6 linked regions of the Macaca fascicularis genome follow. The protein of the gene in region 2 interacts with the protein of the main gene of each other region in a pairwise test. Links are inferred from orthologs where the notes say so. Each region holds a gene or a part of one and is shown on either strand. Other genes may lie near its edges.

Region 1 (4,009 bases), on a different chromosome or scaffold from region 2:
TTTCCTCTTTTACACCGCCACACTCAAAATCAGAATTGGCAACCCCTTTGGTAGAACATGAGCTCCTGGTCACTATAAGCCCACTTATACCCAGTAACGGGCCTACGTCACTCATTTACACTCTGACCTCTCTCCTGCGAGGTTGGTGATTGCACCAACCACGCCCAGAGAAAAGTCACTCTTCCAGCATCTCCCAGGGACCTGCTGGCAGGGCTGAAGATAGAACTCTGACTCTGTGTTTTCCCTCCAGCAACTTCCCTTGCTAGACATTGAAGTGGATTGTTAAATCCCTGACGTATCGGCTTCTAAACTGGATGCAGATAGGGTCAGATAAAAACACTTCTCAGTGCACCTTCTTGTCAACAGTGGGTTCCTATCTTTTCTTCTTTCTTTTGGGATTGGGTGCTAGGTCCCATGACATTAGCTAGGATTCTAAGACCTTTGCTCAGCTGCTGCTGCCACCACTGACACGCACTCTGCTCCTCAAATACGGAGAGCGTGTTCCTGCCTTGAGGATCTTTGCATTTGCCTTCCCTCTGCTTGGAACTCTTCCCTCACATCCGCTTCCTAGCTTCAGCTCGGCATCACCTCCTCAGAGAGGCCTTCTATCCTTGGTGCCCGGGCACCACTGCTACCCCTTTTGGCTTCTTTTTTTTTTTTTTTTTTTTTAAAGGATGCTATGTTGCCCAAGCTGGAGTGCAGTGGTCCGATCATGTATTAACTTCAGCTTCCAACTCCTGGCTTCAAGCGTTCCTCCTGCCTCGGCCTCCCGAGTAGCTAGGCTTACAGACTGGGGTTACAGGTGTGAGCCACCGCGCCCGGCCGCTTTGGCCTCCTTTAAGAGCTTCCCTCCGCGCTTTGTTCCAGTTCTCGTCACGGTCTGTTCAGTGCGCGGGGTTGGGAGGCGGGAAACTGCCCAATGCCCAGACCTCACGGTCTGTTTCTCCTCAAGCTCGTGAAGCTCTCTGACAGCAGAGACCCAATCACGAGGCGGAGACTTAGCCTTCCACATCGGCCAGCGGGTCGGCCGCATCCTCGATCTGGTCTTGGGGACTCGAGACCAGAGGGAAGAGCACGTCGACCCGCCCGGGGGACCTTAGGGCCACACGCCACCTATCCACCGGCTTCCCCAGCAAGCCCACTGCGCATGCTCCATACTCCAGCCCCGTCCCCATTCAGGGGCGGGCCGCGCCTGCGCAGCTACCCGGCACTGGCTTCCGGGTGGTGCGAGCGAGATGGGGCGGAGGGCCGGTCTCGCTGAGTAGAGGCGGTGAGTGGGCGTGTGCGCGGAGCGGTCTGGCCCGAGGGCTAGGGGCTGGCCGAGGGTCTTCGGGAGCAGGTCGCAGGGCGCGGAGAGAGCCTGGGATCGCCGTCTGCCGCTGCTACCCGGTATGTCGGCGGAGGCCTCGGGCCCGGCGGCCCCCGCGGCCCCGTCCCTGGAAGCCCCCAAGCCCTCGGGTCTCGAGCCTGGCCCCGCCGCCTACGGTCTCAAGCCGCTAACCCCGAACAGCAAATACGTGAAGCTGAACGTGGGCGGCTCGCTGCACTACACCACGCTGCGCACCCTCACGGGACAGGACACCATGCTGAAGGCCATGTTCAGCGGCCGCGTGGAGGTGCTGACCGATGCCGGAGGTACTAGCGGCGCCCCCACCGTGCCCCCATCCCCAGATCCCCAACTCCCGTTCCCCTCAGTCTCTCACCAACGGGGCTCCTCATGCCCCTTCTCTCTGCCCGCTGCTGTCCCGTCAACTCATTCTCAGCTCCCTCCAGCCCCGACATCCCATCTTCTCGCCTTTTCTCATTCATAATTTCTCTTCTCCTCCCCCAATCCTTTACCCCCAGCAATAACCAACACTTACGGAACCCCTAACTCTGCCAGGCGCTGTGGTAAGTGATTGAACGTGTCAGTTCATAATCCTCATGACTACCTCTCCCACCCTTCACGTCTCAGCTCAAGACTTGGGAACCAGCCCTGCTGCCTGCAGTACTACTCCTGGCAGCCTTCATCAGTTTCCTCCGACCGCCCAGCCTTTTGTTTCCCTCTCTGCTTCAGAACTGCTAACAACCAGCCAGGAGGGCTGGGAGATCTTGTCTGCCTCTGTGTTCCCCTGACACAGGTCCCTGTACGCTCTAGGAATCCATCTGTATATACACATTGCAGAAGGAGGCTGCTTTGGGTTTGCCAGGGACACCAGAGTGGAGGGTGGACAGGTGTCCTTGGCAGGTGAACCTTACCTTCTTGGAGTGTTGTATTCAAGTTTGGACCCTTCGTGCCCAAGTGAGACCTTGAAGTTTTGGAGTTTGGGAGTGGGAGAGTCTTAAGGGAGGGGTTAACAAGGACTGTGAGAGCAGTAGAATAAAAACTTGGGAGGCGGAGATCTGCCTTCAGGTATCAAAGGTGAAGAATTCGGCCAGGCACGGTGGCTCAAGCCTATAATCCCCGCACTTTGGGAGGCCAAGGCGGGTGGATCACCAGAGGTCAGGAGTTTGACACCAGCCTGACCAATATGGCGAAACTCCGTCTCTACTAAAAATACAAAAATTAGCCGGGCGTGGTGGTGTGCGCCTGTAGCCCAGCTACTTGCGAGGCTGAGACAGGAGAATCGCTTGAACCTGGGAGGCAGAGGTTGCAGTGAGCCGAGTCGGCGCCACTGCACTCCAGCCTGGGTGACAGAGTGAGACTCTGTCTCAGAAAAAAAAAAGGAAGAATTCATTTGTCCAATGAGTATTTGTAAAATATCAGTTAGTGCTGGAGATAGGTAAATGAACCTGACAAAATTATATAACTTCCCTTTTTTTAGGGAGGTGAGAGATCGGAAGACCAATAAGCAAGTAAACAAAATGTATATGCATATGCAATTGCAGATAGTAGTAAGTTCTTTCTTTTTTTTTTTTTTTTGATAGTAAGTTCTATGAAGAATATAAAAGTTAAAATGGCAGTGAACTGGACGGGGGAGGTAGACATTTTAATTAAATAGAATGGTGAGAATTAGCATCGGGGGTTAGCGGTTTATTGATAAGGTAATTCTGCAAGAACTTTCTCGTGGTGAGAGTCTTCTGACTGTAGACCAGATTTGGATGAATTAATTCTCTGGCTGGATATGTATAAACTTATGAGAGAACTCGCTGGAGATGTTTTAAAGAGATTTCTTGGCTGTGGCACAGGCTTGAGACAGATCAGTATTCAGACTTTTTTGTGGCTTTGGAATCCTTTTTCTTTTCTTTTCTTTTTTTTTTTTTTTTGAGATGGAGTTTCGCTCTTGTTGCCCAGGCTGTCTCGGCTCACCACAACCTCCGCCTCTCAGGTTCAAGCGATTCTCCTGCCTCAGCCTCCTGAGTAGTTGGGATTACAGGCATGCGCCACCACGCCTGGCTAATTTTGTGTTTTTATTAAAGACGGGGTTTCTCCATGTTGGTCAGGCTGGTCTCGAACTCCTGACCTCAGGTGATCCGCCCACCTCGGCCTCCTAAAGTGCTAGGATTACAGGCCTAAGTCACCACGCCTGGCCTTCTTTTCTTTTTCTTTTTCTTTTTTCTTTTTATTGTTTTGAGACGGAGTTTCCGTCTTATTGCCCAGGGAGTGCAATGGCGCGATTTCGGCTCACTGCAAACTCCACCTCCCAGGTTCAAGCTGTTCTCCTGCCTCACCCTCCCAAGTAGCTGGCATGCGTCACCAAGCCCAGCTAATTTTGTATTTTTAGTAGAGATGGGGTTTCTCCATGTTGGTCAGGCTGGTCTCAAACTCCTGACTTGAGGTGATCTACCCGCCTCAGCCTCCTAAAGTGTTGGAATTACAGGTGTGAATCACTACACCTGGCTGGAATCCTTTTTTCTTATAATTTAGGCCAGGTTTGGTGGCTCACGCCTATAATCCAAGTGTTTGGGAGGCTGAGATGGGAGGATCACTTGAGCCCAGGAGTTTGAGACCAGCCTGGGCAACATAGTGAGACTCCGTCTCTACAAAAAAATAATTTTTAATTTAGTAGTTCCAGGTCACTCAGCAAAG
Region 2 (2,713 bases):
TTGTGATATGCACCAAACAGATGGCCTGCATTCTCTGTAGGAGCCTACACAGCCCAGGTGCAGCTACCATCATTGAGGGCCCTGATTTGGTTGTTTCTCCAAAACTGGCCAAAGCTGCTAGCAGGTTTCTGTCCCATCAGCCACCAGCATGACCAGTGCCTGGTGCCTGGCACGAGGTGAATGGTTAATAAGCCTGAGTAGGATGAATGAATGAACTCCAGTATGTGAGGGAGTGGTGCCTGTGACCCCTGAAGGTGGAGCAGGTTTGGTTTCTTTTAGTATAAATATTTAGAATATGACCATGATTATAGTTTTTGGCAAGAGTGAATCACTTACTCATGGTCATGGCCTTGAACCTAACCAAACCGCCAGCCAGCACCAGAATAAACTGCACAGAACTGCTGGCCTCAACCAAAAGGAAACTGACTTTCTATTGACTCATGAGACAGGTCCGTTTTTTTTTTTCTTTCAAAAAATTTTTACAAACAGTACAATGTCTAGTAAATCTGACCAAACCAGATACCTCTATTTATTTTTTTCTAAAACCTTGAACTAGAACAAAATTAGACCCCACATAATCCTTATTTATAATATTACTCAATATGTGCAAATAGTAATGATGTTAACTAACATTCATAGGGCAATGCTATGTGTATTATCTCATGTATTCCTCAGACATACCTATGAAGTAGGTGCTGTTTTAATTCCCATTTTACAAGCGAGGAAAATTTGGCAGCTAAATAACTTTTGCCAAGTCACGTGACGATTAGAAGGCAAAGTGAGCGTTTGAATCATTTGAATCCAGGTCCACTTGATTCCCAGGCTGGTGCTCTCAGCTCTCTGGCTCTCCTGTGTCCTCAGCATCAGCGACGGCTGTGGTTTATTGGGCACACGTCGTGAGGCAGTCACAGGACTGAGCGTTCTTCGCACATGAGCTCGGTCAACCCCTCCGCAGTACTATCAGGAGGGTACCATTGTTAGCTCCATTTTAGCGATGAGGAAACAGGGATTTCATGAGATTGTGTAACCTGCCTGCCGTCTGTGGATGGTGGTGCTAAGCTCTTCATGTGGAGTGATAGAGCTCAGCAAGCTCCAGGGCAACAAAGAGTGGGGGACTTTTCCAATGTCATACAGTGAATCAGTGGTTGAGCTGGAACAGAACTTCACTGAAGACTTTCCATTCACTGCTAGGAGAGTGTTGTCGTTAACAGTGGGGGAGGGGCCTGCCATAAGGTCAATCTGCTGTGTCACTTGCTCTGGTGGCAGGAAAGAGTTTAGTGGATTAGAGCATATACTTTGAGTCATACAGATCTGTGCTCAGGGCCACCGTGGGAAAGAGCCTTCCTCTTCCTGGGCCTCTGTTTCTTCTTCTGTAGAATGGAACAATAACCATAGGCCTGCCTCTTGGGTTTGCTGGAGAAGTAAATGAGAGAACACACATTAAATGTCTGGCACAATGACTCTCATGCAGTTAACATGGAATAGCTGTTGTTGTTATGTTGTTGTTTATTGAAATGATTCATGATCCAAAAGAGGCTTGGAAACACTGCACCATATGGAGAAGACTTGAAATCCACTTCACAATGACTGATTTGTGATAGGAAGGAGATGTGAAGGCTGAAGAGCATCTATATACACAGGCACTTGGGACACACAAACACATACATGCTCCTGAAACCTGCACGCACATGTACTTGTGGCATATGTACACTCACACACACGTGCACACACATGTACATACAATATACTTGTACACACATGCTCACATGCACCTGCATATACTCTCACATGGACACACACATGCATGGACAATATACTCATGGCATCTATGGTTTCATACATGCATCTGCAACCTGCACACCCATGCACTTGTAACATACACATGCACACACAACATACTTGTGACATACATATGCTCTTACATATGCACACACATGCATGGACACATGCATCACACACAATACATTTGTAGCATACACATGCTTACATGCATATGCACACACATACACGCACACACATGCCCGTGCACACACATGCATGTGCACACACACTCATGTGCACACACACATTGCATGTTCCTTAGCCTGGTGAACACCTACACATCCTTTAGCTCTCAGCCCAAAGGTCACAGCTTTAGGGCAGCCACTTTGACCGAGGCCAGGACACTCAGGCTGAGCTATCTTGGCACCTAGCACCTCCACCTCTCATCCAAACTGTCCTCTCTCAGCCCATGGGTGCTTCAGTCCCAGGCTCTGTTACCATCACTCTAGGGAGCTTCAGGGGCCTCAGGGAACCTCCTCAGCTTGCATCTCATTGCATGTCATTGAATAATTGTAATAAGTTGCTTAATTCTACAATTCCTGCTAGAATGCCAGTTCTGTGAAAGGCAGGGATAAAGCTGACTCTTCTCCACAGATCAGAATCATTTGACGCAGACCGGCACATAGTATGTCTTCAATACATAGATGCCATTGACTGAACAGAACCACCAGGATCTCATTTGCATGCAAGCTGAAGAATAAGCTTATTCATATTGGGGTCACCCTACACAAGATATCTCATATGGGGATTTTAACCATGGGGTCTCTAATGATTTGGAGGCTCACCCAGAGGAAATCAAGCCTCAGAAAGCTGTAGAAATTGGTAAAAAAATAAAATCCAACTTTCAAATGCATTCCTAGTCACCAGGAAAACACATTTGGGGGAGAGACTG
Region 3 (4,020 bases), on a different chromosome or scaffold from region 2:
TGGTGCCTACATCTAGACTGCTGTTTCGTCTCATTTATTTTCTAGACAAACTGTGCTGCTCCACAGCATTAGCATCAATATGTCTTTTGTTTCGTGGAGCTTCCTAGGGATTTAAATTCAAACCGTATCATAAAATACAATAAAGGTTTATTTACAGCACATTGGTTTCATTTGACGTTCCTGTACCAGACTACCGTGGCAATCGGCTAAAGTTTTGTCAACAAGTTTGCTGCTGGGATTTTTCTCATTTGGTTCAGTTTACTACCGCCTATCATAAGTGATGCAGATGGGTTTCGTTTCTAACATGTGAACGTGACAACTGTTTTGGTTTGGATCCATCATTAATCAAAACTGAAGAAGGTTATTGGGTTCGATGGTGTAGATTTTGACTTTTATTTCTAGCTTCTGTGTGCTTTGTCATATTTCCCCTTGCTTCCTAGACGAGGTGTGTTTCCTTATCTGATTTTGCATCACTGGAGACAACTCAGGAACCAGGAGAGGCTGGATTGGATACCACAAGGAATGCAGCCCTGCCAACAGAGGGACGGATAGAATTAGAGCAAACGGACACATCCCCCCAGCCTGTTCTCCACAGGGCAGATTTTATTAGTATATTTCTAACATATGGGCCTCGTTTCAGTCTTCAAAAGTTTTTTTTCTAGCGCAAACTAGACGCGCTCTGAGCCAAAATTAGCGTCCGCGAACCCCACCCCATTCGCCTCCAACGGACCTCGCTCGCCTTTCCGCCCACAAACAGCCGTTACTACAGTTCCCAGCAAGCGCCGCGCAGGGCCGCAAAGGGCCAGGCCCTCGGCGAATGCCCCGCCCCGCAGGAGGCATGCCGGGAGTTGTAGTGAGTGGGCCCTTCCCCACTGCTTCTTGTTCCTTCCACTGGGCATTCCCACTTGGAAGACTGTTAAGCGCTGCCAGAGCAGTTTCTCTAGTTCCGTACTCGCAGCTCAAGGTGACAGAGGACTGCGCCGCCAGACCTGCGCTGCGCATCGCGTCGGCCCCGCGGACCTTTGCCCCGCCTCCCTCCACACCCGTTCCCTTGACAGCTGGGCTGCGCACGGGGCCGCGGCAAGCCGCGAGCGCGCAGGCGCAGCAGCCCCGCGCCGCGCTAGGCCGGCCTGGAGGGCGGGACGAGCGCTAGTGGCTCCTGGCCGCCGGGGCGCGCACGTAGGCACGCAGAGGCCGTCACGTGGGGCGCCGAGGATCGCAGTGCGCGTGGCCGTGGCGGCTGGTGTGGGGTTGAGTCAGTTGTGAGACCCGGAGCTGGTGACCCAGCGGGTGGCCCACCGAACCGGCGACACAGCGACAGGCGTCAGGGCTCGGGAGCTGCGAGCCTGGCCTCGTCTTAGAGCTCGGCCGAGCCGCCGTCGACCCCCGCCCCCAGTCAGCAAACCGCCGCCGCGGGCGCGCCCCCGCTCTGCGCTGTCTCTCCGATGGCGTCCGCCTCAGGGGCCATGGCGAAGCACGAGCAGATCCTGGTCCTCGACCCGCCCACAGACCTCAAATTCAAAGGTAGGCAGGACGGGGACACCCCAGGGCTGGCTGGGGCGCGCGGAGGGCTGGCGGGCGGCGGGGGGCGCGGAGGACAACTCGGCCGCCCCGGCCAGAGGGAGCGCCCCCTCCCCCACGCCCCGGCGCCTGCCCTCTCCCGGCTGCTGCCTCGCCGCCGCCTCGGCCGGCCTGCCCCTTGCTCCGGCCCGCTTCGTCCCCTCCCGCCCGCCCGCGCTGCGGTGCGCGCGCCGGCCGGGGCGAGGCGGACGGGAGCCGGGCCCTGGCGCGGCCGCCGCCGCCGCCATCTTGCGGTCCCGGGGGGGCGCCTCCTGGGTGTCCGGTCCCGCCCGAGCCGCCGTCCGCCCGGGCCCGCGTCCCTGGTCCCCGAGGCCGATGGCGTGCTCCGGCGGGGCGTGGGCGGGTGGGCATCGGCGGGCATCGGCGGGCGTGCGCTCTGGGCTGCGGCGGGGAGTGGGCTCTGGAGGTGGCGCAAGCTGCGTCCGTCGCCCGCTCCCGGCTGTCAGCGGCGCGGGGAGGCCAGGGCGCGGCGCGGGACCCTTCGGGAGTGAGACCGCCCCTCGGCCCCTGCCCCGGCCCGGGCAGAGCTGGGAGCAGCCGGCCCTCGGGCTCCGCGGAGCGCGTCGTTTCTCACCTTTCCGCCCGGCTTAGAACTCGGCCATCAGGTGTAGGGCGCGCCGGGGAGGCGGAGAAGCCCTGGAGGTGCCTGGCGAGGGCTGCCCGGTGCTGTTGGCACGGACCCAGGCGCGTGCGGGCAGCAGCGATGCGTCAGCTGCGAGCGGAGAGTTGTAGGTTCATAGTAAGCGGGGCTTCCTGCCTTCCACGACATTTCAGTGTGCCACCCGCGTGCTTTTATTTAGCCCTTCGGTTGCGCTCCTCTGCTGAGAAACCTTCAGTGCGTGTGACTTTTGCTTTTACGTTTGCGGTTGCCGACAGATCCTGAGAGGCCTGATAAGGTGTGACCCAGCTCTGGAGCTTTGTAGGTTTTTATTTTGTAGCGCTGCCTGTGGTAAGTTTTTAGTCTGACTTGGTGATCCTGGAAGAATCCCAGGGGCTGTTTGGTGCCTTTCCTTAGTCGATCTGTGTTGTACTTTAGGAAAGAGAGTAAAACTGTACAGATTTTTTTTTTTCTTCTGTATTCTTAAGGAATACTGAAAGAGTGTGAACATCTGATAGAAAGTAGGTTTCTTCCTATCTTCAGTTAAGTGTAAAGTGAGGCCCGTTTTGGAAGTCTATGTCTTGTATTTCAGTTGTTGAATGAGAACAATTTTTGTGAGGTGCATAGCAATTCTAGTGCTAAAAGAAAAAGTTAAATCCTTTATTGTTGTGTGAGGTTGAGTCCAAGAGAAGACCAACTACATTATTTCCATAGGAAAAACTTCAGTTTTAGGAATTTAAAATATATTCTGGAATTATGAGATTAATATTGCGTAACTACATTGCAAGCTTTTTAGTGCATTTACAAATTTCTTTGAATAGAAGTAAGTGTAAGCGAGCTACTTGTTGGGTAAGGATTTGGTTTTAAGACAAGGTGCAGTGAATGTATTTTTTTGCAAGTTTATGTAAGTTGTGTGATTTTTTTACGTAGTTTTAGCTGGGGGAAAACCTTTGAGGAATTATGAAAAGTCCTAACTCAGCCATTATCTCGAGATAATTTAATGTAAGCCTGTATGATGTGTTTTTTAATATTTCGTTTTTATCTTTTGATTGGCCGTGTTTACAGTGAACATTTCCTCTACTGGATAACTGTGTAAGTTGCCATTAGGGACTTATAAGTATGTGTAAGTTGCCATTAGGACAGTTTTAGGCCAGGAAATGTCCGCAGTTTGAAGTTTTTTCTCCTTAGGGAAGTTGTTATGTTGCTATAGTAAGAGACTAATAATAGTGGAGAAGCAGGTTTAAAAAAACAAGCAAAAACCCTACACAGTGACTTACTCTTATATTTCCTTTTTTGGGGGTATTGGAGAATTACAGCTATGATTATAGAACACGTTGTTCTTGTGTTGCCAGTAAAAATGATAAGACTAGCCAGGGAAACAGAAAAGGTATATAGATGGTATAACAGAGACTCAACCCTGTCTGAGGAAAGAAGCCTTCTCTACGTGCCCCATCCCTCCCTTAGGAAATTTTTAAGGAAAAGGCTCGTTTTTCATTTCAGGGGAGATTTAGGCCAAGAGAGTGGTTGAGTAAACACACTGCTGTGAGAGAATGCCTGGTACTTAAATGCCCAATAGTTTGTTGTGTGTTTCAGTTTAAAGACGGAGATAATGGGGGGGATTGGGAGGTGACATTTGGTGTCTGGTTCCTTAATATTATTTTTTTAGTCAAAGGTAAATTGTTTGCTTGATGGAAACCTTTGTGTATTTAAGTGCACAGCTCAACACTGAGGAGACTCATTTAGAATCTACAGTCTACTTGTGCTTAGTTTGTGATAGAAAAAAATCGTTTAACTGACTTATCCTAAATCATTCAAAACTTTCTTTTTAAGTGAAGGACTTT
Region 4 (4,044 bases), on a different chromosome or scaffold from region 2:
GGTTCATGCCATTCTCCTGCCTCAGCCTCCCAAGTAGCTAGGACTACAGGTGCCCACCACCACGCCCGGCTAATTTTTTGTATTTTTAGTAGAGACGGGGTTTCACTGTGTTAGCCAGGACGGTCTTCATCTCCTGACCTCGTGATCCGCCAGTCTTGGCCTCCCAAAGTGCTGGGATTACAGGTGTGAGCCACTGCGCCTGGCTGCTAATTTTTATATTTTTAGTATAGATGGGGTTTCCCTATGTTGGCCAGGCTGATCTCGAACTCCTGACCTCAAGTGATCCGCCCGCCTCAGCCTCCCAAAGGGCTGGGATTACGGGCTTGAGCCACGGCGTCTGGCCTGTATTTTGTAGTTTTTTAGTAGAGACAAGGTTTCCCCAAGTTGGCCAGGCTGATCTCCAACTCCTGACCTCAGGTGATGCACCCGCCTCAGCCTCCCAAAGTGCTGGGATTACAGGCGTGAGCCACCACGCCCGGCCTTAGGTTGCAGTGAGCCAAGATTGCGTCACTGCACTCCAGCCTGGGTGACAGAGCAAGACTCCATTTCAAATAAATAAATAAATAAAAAATAAAATAAAATAAAACTACCCAGTGATGGAGGTCCTAATGTCTCTATTTTCCAGGTGAGGAAACTGAGGCAGAGAGAGGTTAAGTGTTTTAAGGTCACAGAGAGAGTAAATGGTGGGAATTAATAGAAACCAAGGCGGTCTGGCTCCGAGTCCATCCTCTCAATCAATATTACACTATCCGTCTCTGTAGCTGGCATCAATAGTTTGTTCAATTGAAGGGTATTCGCTTTCCAGTTGCTGAAACAATTTAAGCCTGGACTCCACCCACTGCTGGGAGGGTAAGGAAGTGTTTGGCAATCCCAGTGATCTGGCCAATTGTGAGCCTATTCTTTGAAGCATCACCTTACTCCTTCCAATCCACTCTGCCTCAGCAGTGATCCCTGGAAAGGATCCTCAGATAGACAGCAGAACGTGAAATCCTGCCAACTAGCCCATCCCTCCTCCAACTCTACCACCCCATTCCCAGAGGACCCCAATGGGCAGGTTGCCGCAGTATCTGGGTAAGACTTAACCATCTTTCCATCTGGTCTACAGCTCTGACAGCTGGAGCATATAGGAGAGCAATGACTCTGGCCTTTGGCCCTAAATGGTTTCTACCATAGGCCCAGTTTCTGCTACAACTTCACTTGTCCCTTCTTCCCAGAAAGCCAAGCTGTCCAAAGATTATAAGGTAAAGGGTATGGAGGCTCCCAGGTATTCCTAACCAATAAAAGAGAATAAACATCGATACGGTGGCAGCTAGAATAAACATCCTATCTTTTGTCCCAACTTGGGGGCTGAGTGCTGTGGCATCATCCAGGCTCTCCCTCCCCTTTGCTTCTGGTTTTCCTCTTTGTCCCAGGGTGTCCTCCCATTAGGAGCCCTGGCACAGGGCTGTGACAGCCACAGTCAGTGGGCCAACTGCAGTGTGGCTCTGGGGCAACTGCCCTGGAGCAGCTGCAAGGCACCTGCCCTTTGGATCCTAACCCAGCCACCTCCTGCCAGGCTGAGGAGGAGCAGCGTGCAGATACTAGGCTGGCCAAGGAGGCAGAGTGTGGGGATGACCAGGGAGGTGCCCAATGGGGGCAGGGGTAGCTGAAGCAGATGTCCTTTCACACTTCCTGCTATTCTCTCCATTTCCTGTGGCCCAGAATTTGATGGAGGTGAGGGAAATTGGGTCAAGTCAGCAGTCCCCTTTGGTCCATCTGTCCCACTCCTTGAACCACATAACGGAAATCAGGGGCCTCCCACAAGGCAGCAACTTCCCCTTTCTCTGGGATGTTTAAACCCTAATCCAGGACACCGATCATCTCTCTGATGATCTCTTTCTGATACTCATCTACTTGACGCTCAGAAACCTGGGTTCTCCTACTCTATAGGTTGGAAGTGGGGTCGATATGATGCTTTGCAGAGCAAGCCAGAGCTCAGGACCAATTCCCTATTCCCGATCCCCTCTGGGTTGAGGCCTACAGCCCCAACCTTTCTGTCTTTTGCTCCTGCTCCCCTGGGACTCAGGCATTCACCCCTTACCCCTTGGGGGTGTTGAGTCACAACAGGAAGTGGATTTTGCTAGAGACCAAAAAAGAGAACTCGGGGTATCAGTGGAAGGAAAGAGCCTCGATTGCACAGAAAACATCCGGGGAGTGGACGCGCGCCCAGCGTGAATACTGCCTCCCCCACCCCCAGGGAGAGGGATCCGATCTAGTTTCAGGAAGGGTCAGGCTCTCCCAAGATGAAGCTGTTGTTGCTCCTGGCAACCCAGGGGAAGGTAGAAGTTTGGATGAGGAGCCACCCGGCCCTCGGGACAGGTGTGGGCAGCGCGACTACCTGGGGGATATTGGACAGGAGGCTTTGCATTGGCTTGGCACGAGTCTGGAGGGGATCCCCCTCCCAGCATCCAGCCTCCCCGTACACGACCCCTCGGGGCCAGCCACCTGCTCCTCCCTCCGTCCCTGCATCGCAGCCTGCCCAGACTCCTGGGCACGGGAGAGCCCAGTAGTCTGGCCCCACATCCCTGAGAGAACCCCGACACCGGTTTTTCTGATCCCCCTCCGGCCTCGCTTTCTGCAGGGGCCCGGGCATTTCCCCCCAACCTCATTATCCTCGAGGACCTGCGCGTGCGGCCCCGGATGGCTGTCCCTAGGGACCCAGGCGTCCGGCCCCCAGATCCTCTCCGCGGCGTCCTCGTCTGGGACCGTCCCAGCCCCCGCCCCGAGCCGCCGCCCATGCCCCGCCGCGTGGCCCCACCTCCCTTACCTGGTCCCGGGTTTCTCCCCCATGGTGCGCGCGCCCGCCGCCCGCTCGGTTCGCGGCTCGCTCGCAGCCTCCTCGCCCGCTGCCAAGATCCCTGCTCCTCCCCGCGCCAATGCGCACGCGCGCCCTCCGCGCTCTCGCCTCTTCCCCCTCCCTCCCGGCCCGGCTCTGGTCTGGGGGAACCGGGGCCAGATGCGTCAGCCGGATCGCGCGCGCCGCGGCGCTGCCCGCCCTCTCCTAGCAGACACACAGGGCCATTGGCTCCGCCCCCAACCCTTCGCGTTCCGTCCCAGCCGGGGAGCCCTCCCCCGCGCGCGGGGCCCGCTCCCGCTCTTCCCGCCCATCTCCCCGCCCCGCCGCAACCCCTTGAAACCGATTGGGCCCCCCTAAACCAAGGCTCCCGCCTTCCAGGGGATCTAAGTCTTTCGATTGGCCCTCGGCATCCAGAACCTTTAGGGGTCTCCTCCCCTTTGTTTGCTTTCTCAGTGGCGGTGGGGGCGACCGGGCTGTTGGGGGCGGTGGAATGAGCTGAAGCGCCGTCTGGGAAGGAGGATGGTGGGGGGGAACACGTGGGTGAGCAGTTCAATTGCGTGATACTTGCTTCAGTGCGCGCAGCTCACCTGCTCCACGCGGAGCGTACCGCCTTCTGTGGCCAGCCCTCCCGCTTCTTCACCGCAGCGTGTCAGCTCCTCCTGGTGTCTACATTTGATTTTCGCAGGGTTCCCTTTTCCAATGTCTCTGACTCTCCATCTCCTTCACCCACCCATCCCAGCTAACATCCACTCACTCACTCGCTCGCACCCATCGGTCCATCTATCGACCCACCCATCCGTGCCTATTTTATGCTATTTACTATGCCAATCGATGGGGACACATATGAATTACCATGGCCCCTGACTTCCTAGAATAGTTGAGGAGACACATACACAGGTATTACCCAGGAATGCTATTACAGAGGTCTGAGTCAGAAGACACAGCCACTAACAGCGCTCGGCCCGGGCGGGGGTGGAGCGGAGAACATATGAGGACAGTCTTTCTGAAGGATGTGCAGAAGTTTTTTTTCGTTTTCTTTTTTTTGAGATAGAGTCTCGCTCTGTTGCCCCGGCTGGAGTGCAGTGGCGCGATCTCGGCTCACTGCAACCTCCGCCTCCCAGGTTCAAGCACTTCTCTGCTCAGCCTCCCGAGTAGCTGGGATTACAGGCGCCTGCCACAATGCCTAGCTACTTTTCATATTTTTAATA
Region 5 (2,157 bases), on a different chromosome or scaffold from region 2:
AGAGCAAATGCATATATTCGAGTTGTCTGGGGTGTAGACCAAAGCATTCCATCCACCCAGGGAGTTTTCTTTTAGTCTCATATTTTATCTGAAACCTTATTGACATTTTACCTTTTACTCCTTGTTCTTGTTTGAATGCATAGATAATGACTACACTTATTATATATTAAATTACTTCAATTTTCCCCCAAATATTGAAGTGGCTTTAATATTGCCAGGTGATTGCTGTGTTCATGTTGTAACTTTGAGAACCATCGTCCCCATCTTGGTTGACTATGATGTGCTTGAGGGAAGTCACTGCTTCTTGTAGCTTTCTATTTTCTCGACACCAAGCATAGTGCTCGGCATGGAGTTGATATCAATAAATGGATGCTTGTGTTGGATATGTATCTGTTTGCCCCATTTGAGTACATGTACAATGCTTAATACATGTTTTATAAGTAAATGAAATGATAGCATGCTTACATTAAGAACATGTGTTTATATTCCTGGAAAGCCTCCATGTGAAAAAAAATAGGTACATATTTTTGGTTCTTAACCTTTAAATGTTGACTTTTTTAGATGTCTGGACCATATGCTTACAAGAACAGTGCCTTTTTGAAGACAGTTTTTCATTTGGTTATTGTCAAAGAGTTTTCTGCTCCAAAATTTTCCTGTGTTTGAGATATCTAGACATTCTTTTTGGCTACTTTCTGCATATTTTCCTGTATTTTTACAGGTTCTATTTTCTTTGATTTTCTGAAGTATCTCCTATTTCTTTAAATTTGATATACATACCTATTTTATGATAAATATATTTTTTATGTCTGATTCTGTATCTCTGGCATATAAATTCATAGTGGCTAATTGTCTCTTGCATATTGTGACTTTTGATTTTGTGAACCTGTGTCCCTTGAATTTTAACTATAGGATTTTTTGAGGTCTGGTTTTAAAGTACATTCTTCCAGAGAGGATTTGTTTGATTTTTACCAGGTGCCTGGGATTATTTTAAATTGTATTTTGGGTTTTCTGAGCCACATAGATCCTGGAAATTCTGATCCTAACACCATGTAAGTTCAGGCTCCTGGTTAGAATTTGCCATTTTTTGCCTCCTTTCCCCCCAGTTCATCCAGACCCAAATCCTGTCATATAGGCAGATTTCTTCATTATCTCCTTACACCTCTTAAGATGTCAGCATTTGAGGAGTTCCAAATTCACAGGGAGTCTTTGACCCAATCCCCACCCACATTGGCCCCAGCTCTGTTTCCTGCCCCTGTGTACCTGGGCATCTTGCCCCATTTTTCTAGCTAAAACTAACTTGAAGCCCTCACCAGGACGGGCAGGTGCCCCTAAGGTAAACAGGCAGCATGAACAGGGAGGAGTCTCTGGCCTGTTTGAAATTTGTTTCCTTTTTGATTTTGGCCTCTGGCGAATTTCCCTTTCTTGTTTTCTGTAAGTGTATGCCTTTGAAGATAATACTGTCATACTTTATTTTGCATTTAGGAAAAATTGGAGGAGCCCTCTCATCATTTAGTCCATCGGAGACAATAAACTCTTTGGTATTTGCTGTGTGTAAGGCACACTACTGACCCTCACACTGGAAAACATGAGAATCCTGGTCAGCAATGAAAATGGGAATTTCTGCACTACCCTGACTCCTTATCTAGCTCTCCTAGTGGCAGACACTTTCGTGGTGAATAAGATTTTTAGTGTATCTGGGTTCTTATCTATAATAAAAAGGGATTGGACTAGCTGATCTTTATGGATCCTTCCAGTCCTAAATGTTTTGCACTCTATGACCCTCAACCCACTACAGTTTGTTTTCTATTTTTATGCTTACAATGATTCAGCTGATGTCCTGAGCCCAGTTACCCATGCCTCATTCTGGAAAACTGTTCTCTCTCTCTTATTTTTATTTATTTATCTTTTTTTTTTTTTTTTTTTTTTTTTTTTTTTTTTTTACGGTTTTGCCAGTCTGCATTTATTCCCTAGTGCTTTGATCTTTCAGGGGACACTGGGAATAAATGTCTTCTCTGTTCCCCCACAGGTCGCTTCTCTGGGAGTCACCACTTTCACCTTATGTGCTCTGTGCATAGACCGTTTCCGTGCTGCCACCAACGTACAGATGTACTATGAAATGATCGAAAACTGTTCCTCAACAACTGCCAAACTGGCTGT
Region 6 (4,120 bases), on a different chromosome or scaffold from region 2:
ATGTCAGGCCTACTTGGGTGTCCCCGCCTCTGACACCTCCCTGCTGGAGGAAACAGCAGGAAAGGAGAACCAGGCAGGCAGGCAGGCCTCCCGATGGAGCAGCGTTGGGCCCTCAAGGTGCCTGACCCACTTCCTAGAGTACTCAACAGTCCCAGAGGGTCACAGCTGGTGTGCAGGGCAGCCTGGAGCTCTCACCTTCAGCACGGGGTGTACCTGAGACTTCCAGTGGATGAGGGTCAGCCTCTGGAGCTGTGAAAACCTGGGCCGACAGCAGAGGCAGAGCTGCACTAATGTTCCCACACGAGTCCTTCCCACCCAACACCTTGGTGCAGGGAGACAGAAGGAGCCTGGAGCCAGGGGACAAGGAAAAGAGGGAACCCCTCACCGATTAGGCATAAGCCACTCCAGGGAAGCAAGAAGCTTCTTCTCCGCCTTGACCCCGCCCTTGGCAGGCCGGCCGGCCAGCGGGGACGACAGGGTCACGGTGTGCCAGAGCGCGGGTTGGGAAGCGGCCTCCTGCCAGCGGCGGCACACGCGCGCAGCCCTGGGAGGACAGCGTGCTGAGGCTGCCGGCCCCTTCGTAGGTGATACCCCCTCTCGCAGCGCAGTGGACATCCCGGCTCAAAGCCGGGCTCCTGGGACTCCAACCGGGCGCCTAAGGGGCTGCGCTCTCGGGCGGAGGGGTGCGCGCTCCGATGCTTTCGCCCTCCGCCCCCGCCCGGGCCACTGCTCGGACCACGTCTGGCCCAAGTCGCTGCGCTCGGCGACGGGCCCGGCAGCAGCGTTACCTGCCGAGGAAGGGCATGGGCCCGTCCGCCGCCACCAACAACCCGAAAATCTGCACCAGGATTTCCAAGGGAATGCGGTCTCCCCAGCCCGCGTCGGGCCCTTCCTCGGGCGAGGGCGCCGGGTCGGGCCTGAGCGTGGCCTTGGGCTTGGCCGCGGCGCGGCCCGGGGGCGGCTGCCGGGGAGTGCGGCGGGCAGCGCGGGGAGTGCGGCGGGCAGCGCGTCGCTGTGCGCGGGTCCGGGCGGGTCCGGGTTCGGACAGCACCAGCAGCATGCTGTCGGACGGAAGCAGGTGGTACCCCGAGCCGCTCGGCGCCAGCCGGTCCCACCACCAGTCCTCGGCCGAGCGGGCCCGCGGCGCTGCCCGAGCTCTGCGCCGGACCTTCCGGGAGGCCGGGGAAGCCATGACCACCGACGGCGCTTGGGGCAGCTCCAGGGAGCGGAACGGGCGGGGCTTACAGACTGACACCCCCCGACTCTTCTCTGCGCCCGCCCGCTGACCCGCTTCCGGGGCGGGACTTCCGGCCGTGGGCCATGCCGGGGGCGGGCCCGGAGTCGCGGCGGGTGAGTCTGGTGGTGGCTGCTGTCGGGTCCTGGGCTGTCTGGACTGAGGCGGCGTCCCTGGGCCGGACGGCGGCGTCCTGGCGTGGCGGGAAGCCGGCACTAGAGCGGGAGCGCACTGGGTGCGGGACCGGGAGGCGTAGAGTCGCCCATCTGAAGCTGGTGAGAGGGCGGCGCCCCTACGAGCAGAGCCGCCCCAGCCACTCCCCTGGGATCTGACTTGGCTCCTGCGGTCCCGGGCACCGCGAAGCCCTGGGGCGTGCTTGGCTCCTGCTGGTAGGCGCCCTGTCCCAGTGTCCGGCTTGGGGTGGTGGTTGCAGTGACTCCAACCCCGCCTCTCCCTGGAGAGGAGGGCTCCACTCGCTCCTTCGGCCTCCTCCCCTGGGGCTGCAGCGACTCGGGCCGGCTTCCTGCTTCCCTACCTGCCGGCGGTCCCGACGCTGGCGGGCGGTGCTGCTGGGTACGTTTTAGCCAATCCTCCCCATCCCCACTCCTGCCCGGGGCTCCCCCTGTTCCCTTGGTCTCACCCTGTTGATTCCGGTTCTGTATCCTGCCTATTTGTCTGTTTCTTTCAAGCTAGAAGAGGTCTTCAGTTCCCAGAAGAGCCAAAGCGTCTCTGGACCTAGGTGGGAAAAGAACTGGCTGTGACCTTTGCCTTGACCTGGAAGGGCGCAGCCTTGGACTGAATGGCAGCACCCACACCCGGCCGTCCGGTGCTGACCCACCTGCTGGTGGCTCTCTTCGGCATGGGCTCCTGGGCTGCGGTCAATGGGATCTGGGTGGAACTACCTGTGGTGGTCAAAGAGCTTCCGGAGGGTGAGTGGGAGGAGGTGCAGGTGTGCCCAGGAAGGTGGGCCCTGTCAGTTCTTCTTCCCTTGGGTATCATGCCCCTGACATGGTCTCCTCCCTTCCCTGCAGGTTGGAGTCTCCCCTCCTACGTCTCTGTGCTTGTGGCGCTGGGGAACCTGGGTCTGCTGGTGGTGACCCTTTGGAGGCGGCTGGCCCCAGGAAAGGGCGAGCGGGTCCCCATCCGGGTGGTGCAGGTGCTGAGCATGGTGGGCACAGCTCTCCTGGCCTTTCTGTGGCACCGCGTGGTCCTAGTGGCAGGACAGTCGCATTCCGTGGCCTTCTTAGCACTGGCCTTTGTGCTGGCGCTGGCATGCTGTGCCTCTAATGTCACTTTCCTGCCCTTCCTGAGCCACCTGCCACCTCGCTTCTTACGGTCATTCTTCCTGGGTCAAGGCCTGAGTGCCCTGCTGCCCTGCGTGCTGGCCCTAGTGCAGGGTGTGGGCCGCCGTGAGTGCCCACCAGCCCCCATCAACGGCACCCCCGGCCCCCCACTCGACTTCCGTGAGCGTTTTCCCGCCAGCACCTTCTTCTGGGCACTGACTGCCCTTCTGGTCGCTTCAGCTGCTGCCTTTCAGGGTCTCCTGCTGCTGTTGCCACCACCATCTGTACCCACAGGGGGCTTAGGATCAGGCCTCCAGGTGGGAGCCCCAGGAGCAGAGGAAGAGGTGGAAGAGGCCTCACCATTGCAAGAGCCACCAAGCCAGGCAGCAGGCACCACCCCTGGTCCAGACCCTAAGGCCTATCAGCTTCTCTCAGCCCACAGTGCCTGCCTCCTGGGGCTGTTGGCTGCCACCAACGCACTGACCAACGGCGTGCTACCTGCTGTGCAAAGCTTTTCCTGCTTACCCTACGGGCGTCTGGCCTACCACCTGGCTGTGGTGCTGGGCAGTGCTGCCAATCCCCTGGCCTGCTTCCTGGCCATGGGTGTGCTGTGCAGGTACACAAGGGCCCTTCAGCCCCTGTGCGGGTGGAACTCAGGGCTGGGAGCCAGGTCCTGGCACAGTCAGCCCTGACACTCTGCTCACTCTCTACAGATCCTTGGCAGGGCTGGGCGGCCTCTCTCTGCTGGGCGTGCTCTTTGGGGGCTACCTGATGGCGCTGGCAGTCCTGAGCCCCTGCCCGCCCCTGGTGGGCACCTCGGCAGGGGTGGTCCTCGTGGTGAGCACACGGGACGTGAAGTGGGGTGGGGGCGTTTTCGTGGAGCAGGCACATCTCACGCTCAGCTGCTGCTGTGTCCCCTCAGGTCCTGTCGTGGGTGCTGTGTCTTGGTGTTTTCTCCTACGTGAAGGTGGCAGCTAGCTCCCTGCTGCATGGCGGGGGCCGGCCGGCATTGCTGGCAGCCGGTGTGGCCATCCAGGTGGGCTCTCTGCTCGGCGCTGTTGCTATGTTCCCCCCCACCAGCATCTATCACGTGTTCCACAGCAGAAAGGACTGTGCAGACCCCTGTGACTCCTGAGCCTGGGCAGGTGGGGACCCCGCTCCCTGACGCCTGTCTTTCCCTCAACACTGCCACCATGCCTGAGTGCCTGCAGCCCAGGAGGCCCGCACACCGGTACACTCGTGGACACCACACACTCCATAGGAGACCCTGGCTCTCTGGGGCGGGGGGAAAGGGCAGGGAGCAGGCTTGGAGCCAGGGACCGGTGGGGGCTGTAGGGTAAGCCCCTGAGCCTAGGACCTACGTGTGGTTTGCATAATAAAACATTTTTATTTAATGAGTTGGCATTAATTCTTTGAGCATCTCTTTCTGTGTGGATGCTTCTGTGAACTAGAGCCATGGCCGGGCCTGTTTAACAGGGGCCACCTCTCCCCAGGCCCTGGGCAGGTCCTTACCCACCGCAGGCTGGTCTCACAGATCGTACAGTCATGGCCCTCTGAGCCCAGACTCCCCTACATTCCTTCTTGGAACTGCCCTGGGCTCTCT

Evidence for each region.
Region 1: the proteins of ADRB2 (region 2) and KCTD13 interact in a protein complementation assay, tested with the Homo sapiens proteins (2 studies listed by BioGRID and IntAct, with this or other methods). The link is inferred for Macaca fascicularis from reciprocal best matches to the Homo sapiens genes ADRB2 and KCTD13.
Region 3: the proteins of ADRB2 (region 2) and VAPA interact in a protein complementation assay, tested with the Homo sapiens proteins (2 studies listed by BioGRID and IntAct, with this or other methods). The link is inferred for Macaca fascicularis from reciprocal best matches to the Homo sapiens genes ADRB2 and VAPA.
Region 4: the proteins of ADRB2 (region 2) and ARRB2 interact in binary tests that used the Homo sapiens proteins (3 or more experiments, as listed by UniProt). The link is inferred for Macaca fascicularis from reciprocal best matches to the Homo sapiens genes ADRB2 and ARRB2.
Region 5: the proteins of ADRB2 (region 2) and GPR37 interact in a protein complementation assay, tested with the Homo sapiens proteins (2 studies listed by BioGRID and IntAct, with this or other methods). The link is inferred for Macaca fascicularis from reciprocal best matches to the Homo sapiens genes ADRB2 and GPR37.
Region 6: the proteins of ADRB2 (region 2) and SLC52A2 interact in a protein complementation assay, tested with the Homo sapiens proteins (2 studies listed by BioGRID and IntAct, with this or other methods). The link is inferred for Macaca fascicularis from reciprocal best matches to the Homo sapiens genes ADRB2 and SLC52A2.

What each region holds. Positions count from the first base shown.
Region 1 is NC_088394.1:28,174,894-28,178,902, forward strand, and holds the start of KCTD13 (BTB/POZ domain-containing adapter for CUL3-mediated RhoA degradation protein 1), read left to right. Parts: upstream 1-1,209; 5' UTR 1,210-1,391; coding exon 1,392-1,635; intron 1,636-4,009. UniProt on the Homo sapiens protein: Substrate-specific adapter of a BCR (BTB-CUL3-RBX1) E3 ubiquitin-protein ligase complex required for synaptic transmission.
Region 2 is NC_088380.1:155,832,448-155,835,160, reverse strand, and holds the end of ADRB2 (beta-2 adrenergic receptor), read right to left. Parts: intron 1,414-2,713; coding exon 1,283-1,413; 3' UTR 501-1,282; downstream 1-500. UniProt on the Homo sapiens protein: Beta-adrenergic receptors mediate the catecholamine-induced activation of adenylate cyclase through the action of G proteins. The beta-2-adrenergic receptor binds epinephrine with an approximately 30-fold greater affinity than it does norepinephrine.
Region 3 is NC_088392.1:78,262,599-78,266,618, forward strand, and holds the start of VAPA (vesicle-associated membrane protein-associated protein A), read left to right. Parts: upstream 1-1,220; 5' UTR 1,221-1,445; coding exon of another isoform or gene 1,446-1,524; 5' UTR 1,525-2,530; intron 2,531-4,020. UniProt on the Homo sapiens protein: Endoplasmic reticulum (ER)-anchored protein that mediates the formation of contact sites between the ER and endosomes via interaction with FFAT motif-containing proteins such as STARD3 or WDR44.
Region 4 is NC_088390.1:4,804,906-4,808,949, reverse strand, and holds the start of ARRB2 (beta-arrestin-2), read right to left. Parts: upstream 2,801-4,044; 5' UTR 2,778-2,800; coding exon 2,644-2,777; intron 1-2,643. UniProt on the Homo sapiens protein: Functions in regulating agonist-mediated G-protein coupled receptor (GPCR) signaling by mediating both receptor desensitization and resensitization processes.
Region 5 is NC_088377.1:166,334,157-166,336,313, reverse strand, and holds part of GPR37 (prosaposin receptor GPR37), read left to right. Parts: intron 1-2,026; coding exon 2,027-2,157.
Region 6 is NC_088382.1:154,040,982-154,045,101, forward strand, and holds SLC52A2 (solute carrier family 52, riboflavin transporter, member 2), read left to right. Parts: upstream 1-1,320; coding exon 1,321-1,509; exon of another isoform or gene 1,510-1,807; intron 1,808-1,923; exon of another isoform or gene 1,924-1,927; coding exon 1,928-1,973; exon of another isoform or gene 1,974-2,033; coding exon of another isoform or gene 2,034-2,163; intron 2,164-2,265; coding exon 2,266-3,133; intron 3,134-3,230; coding exon 3,231-3,354; intron 3,355-3,439; coding exon 3,440-3,652; 3' UTR 3,653-3,911; downstream 3,912-4,120. Other genes in the region: FBXL6 (F-box/LRR-repeat protein 6), read right to left, coding at 196-259, 386-544, 789-1,192. UniProt on the Homo sapiens protein: Plasma membrane transporter mediating the uptake by cells of the water soluble vitamin B2/riboflavin that plays a key role in biochemical oxidation-reduction reactions of the carbohydrate, lipid, and amino acid metabolism.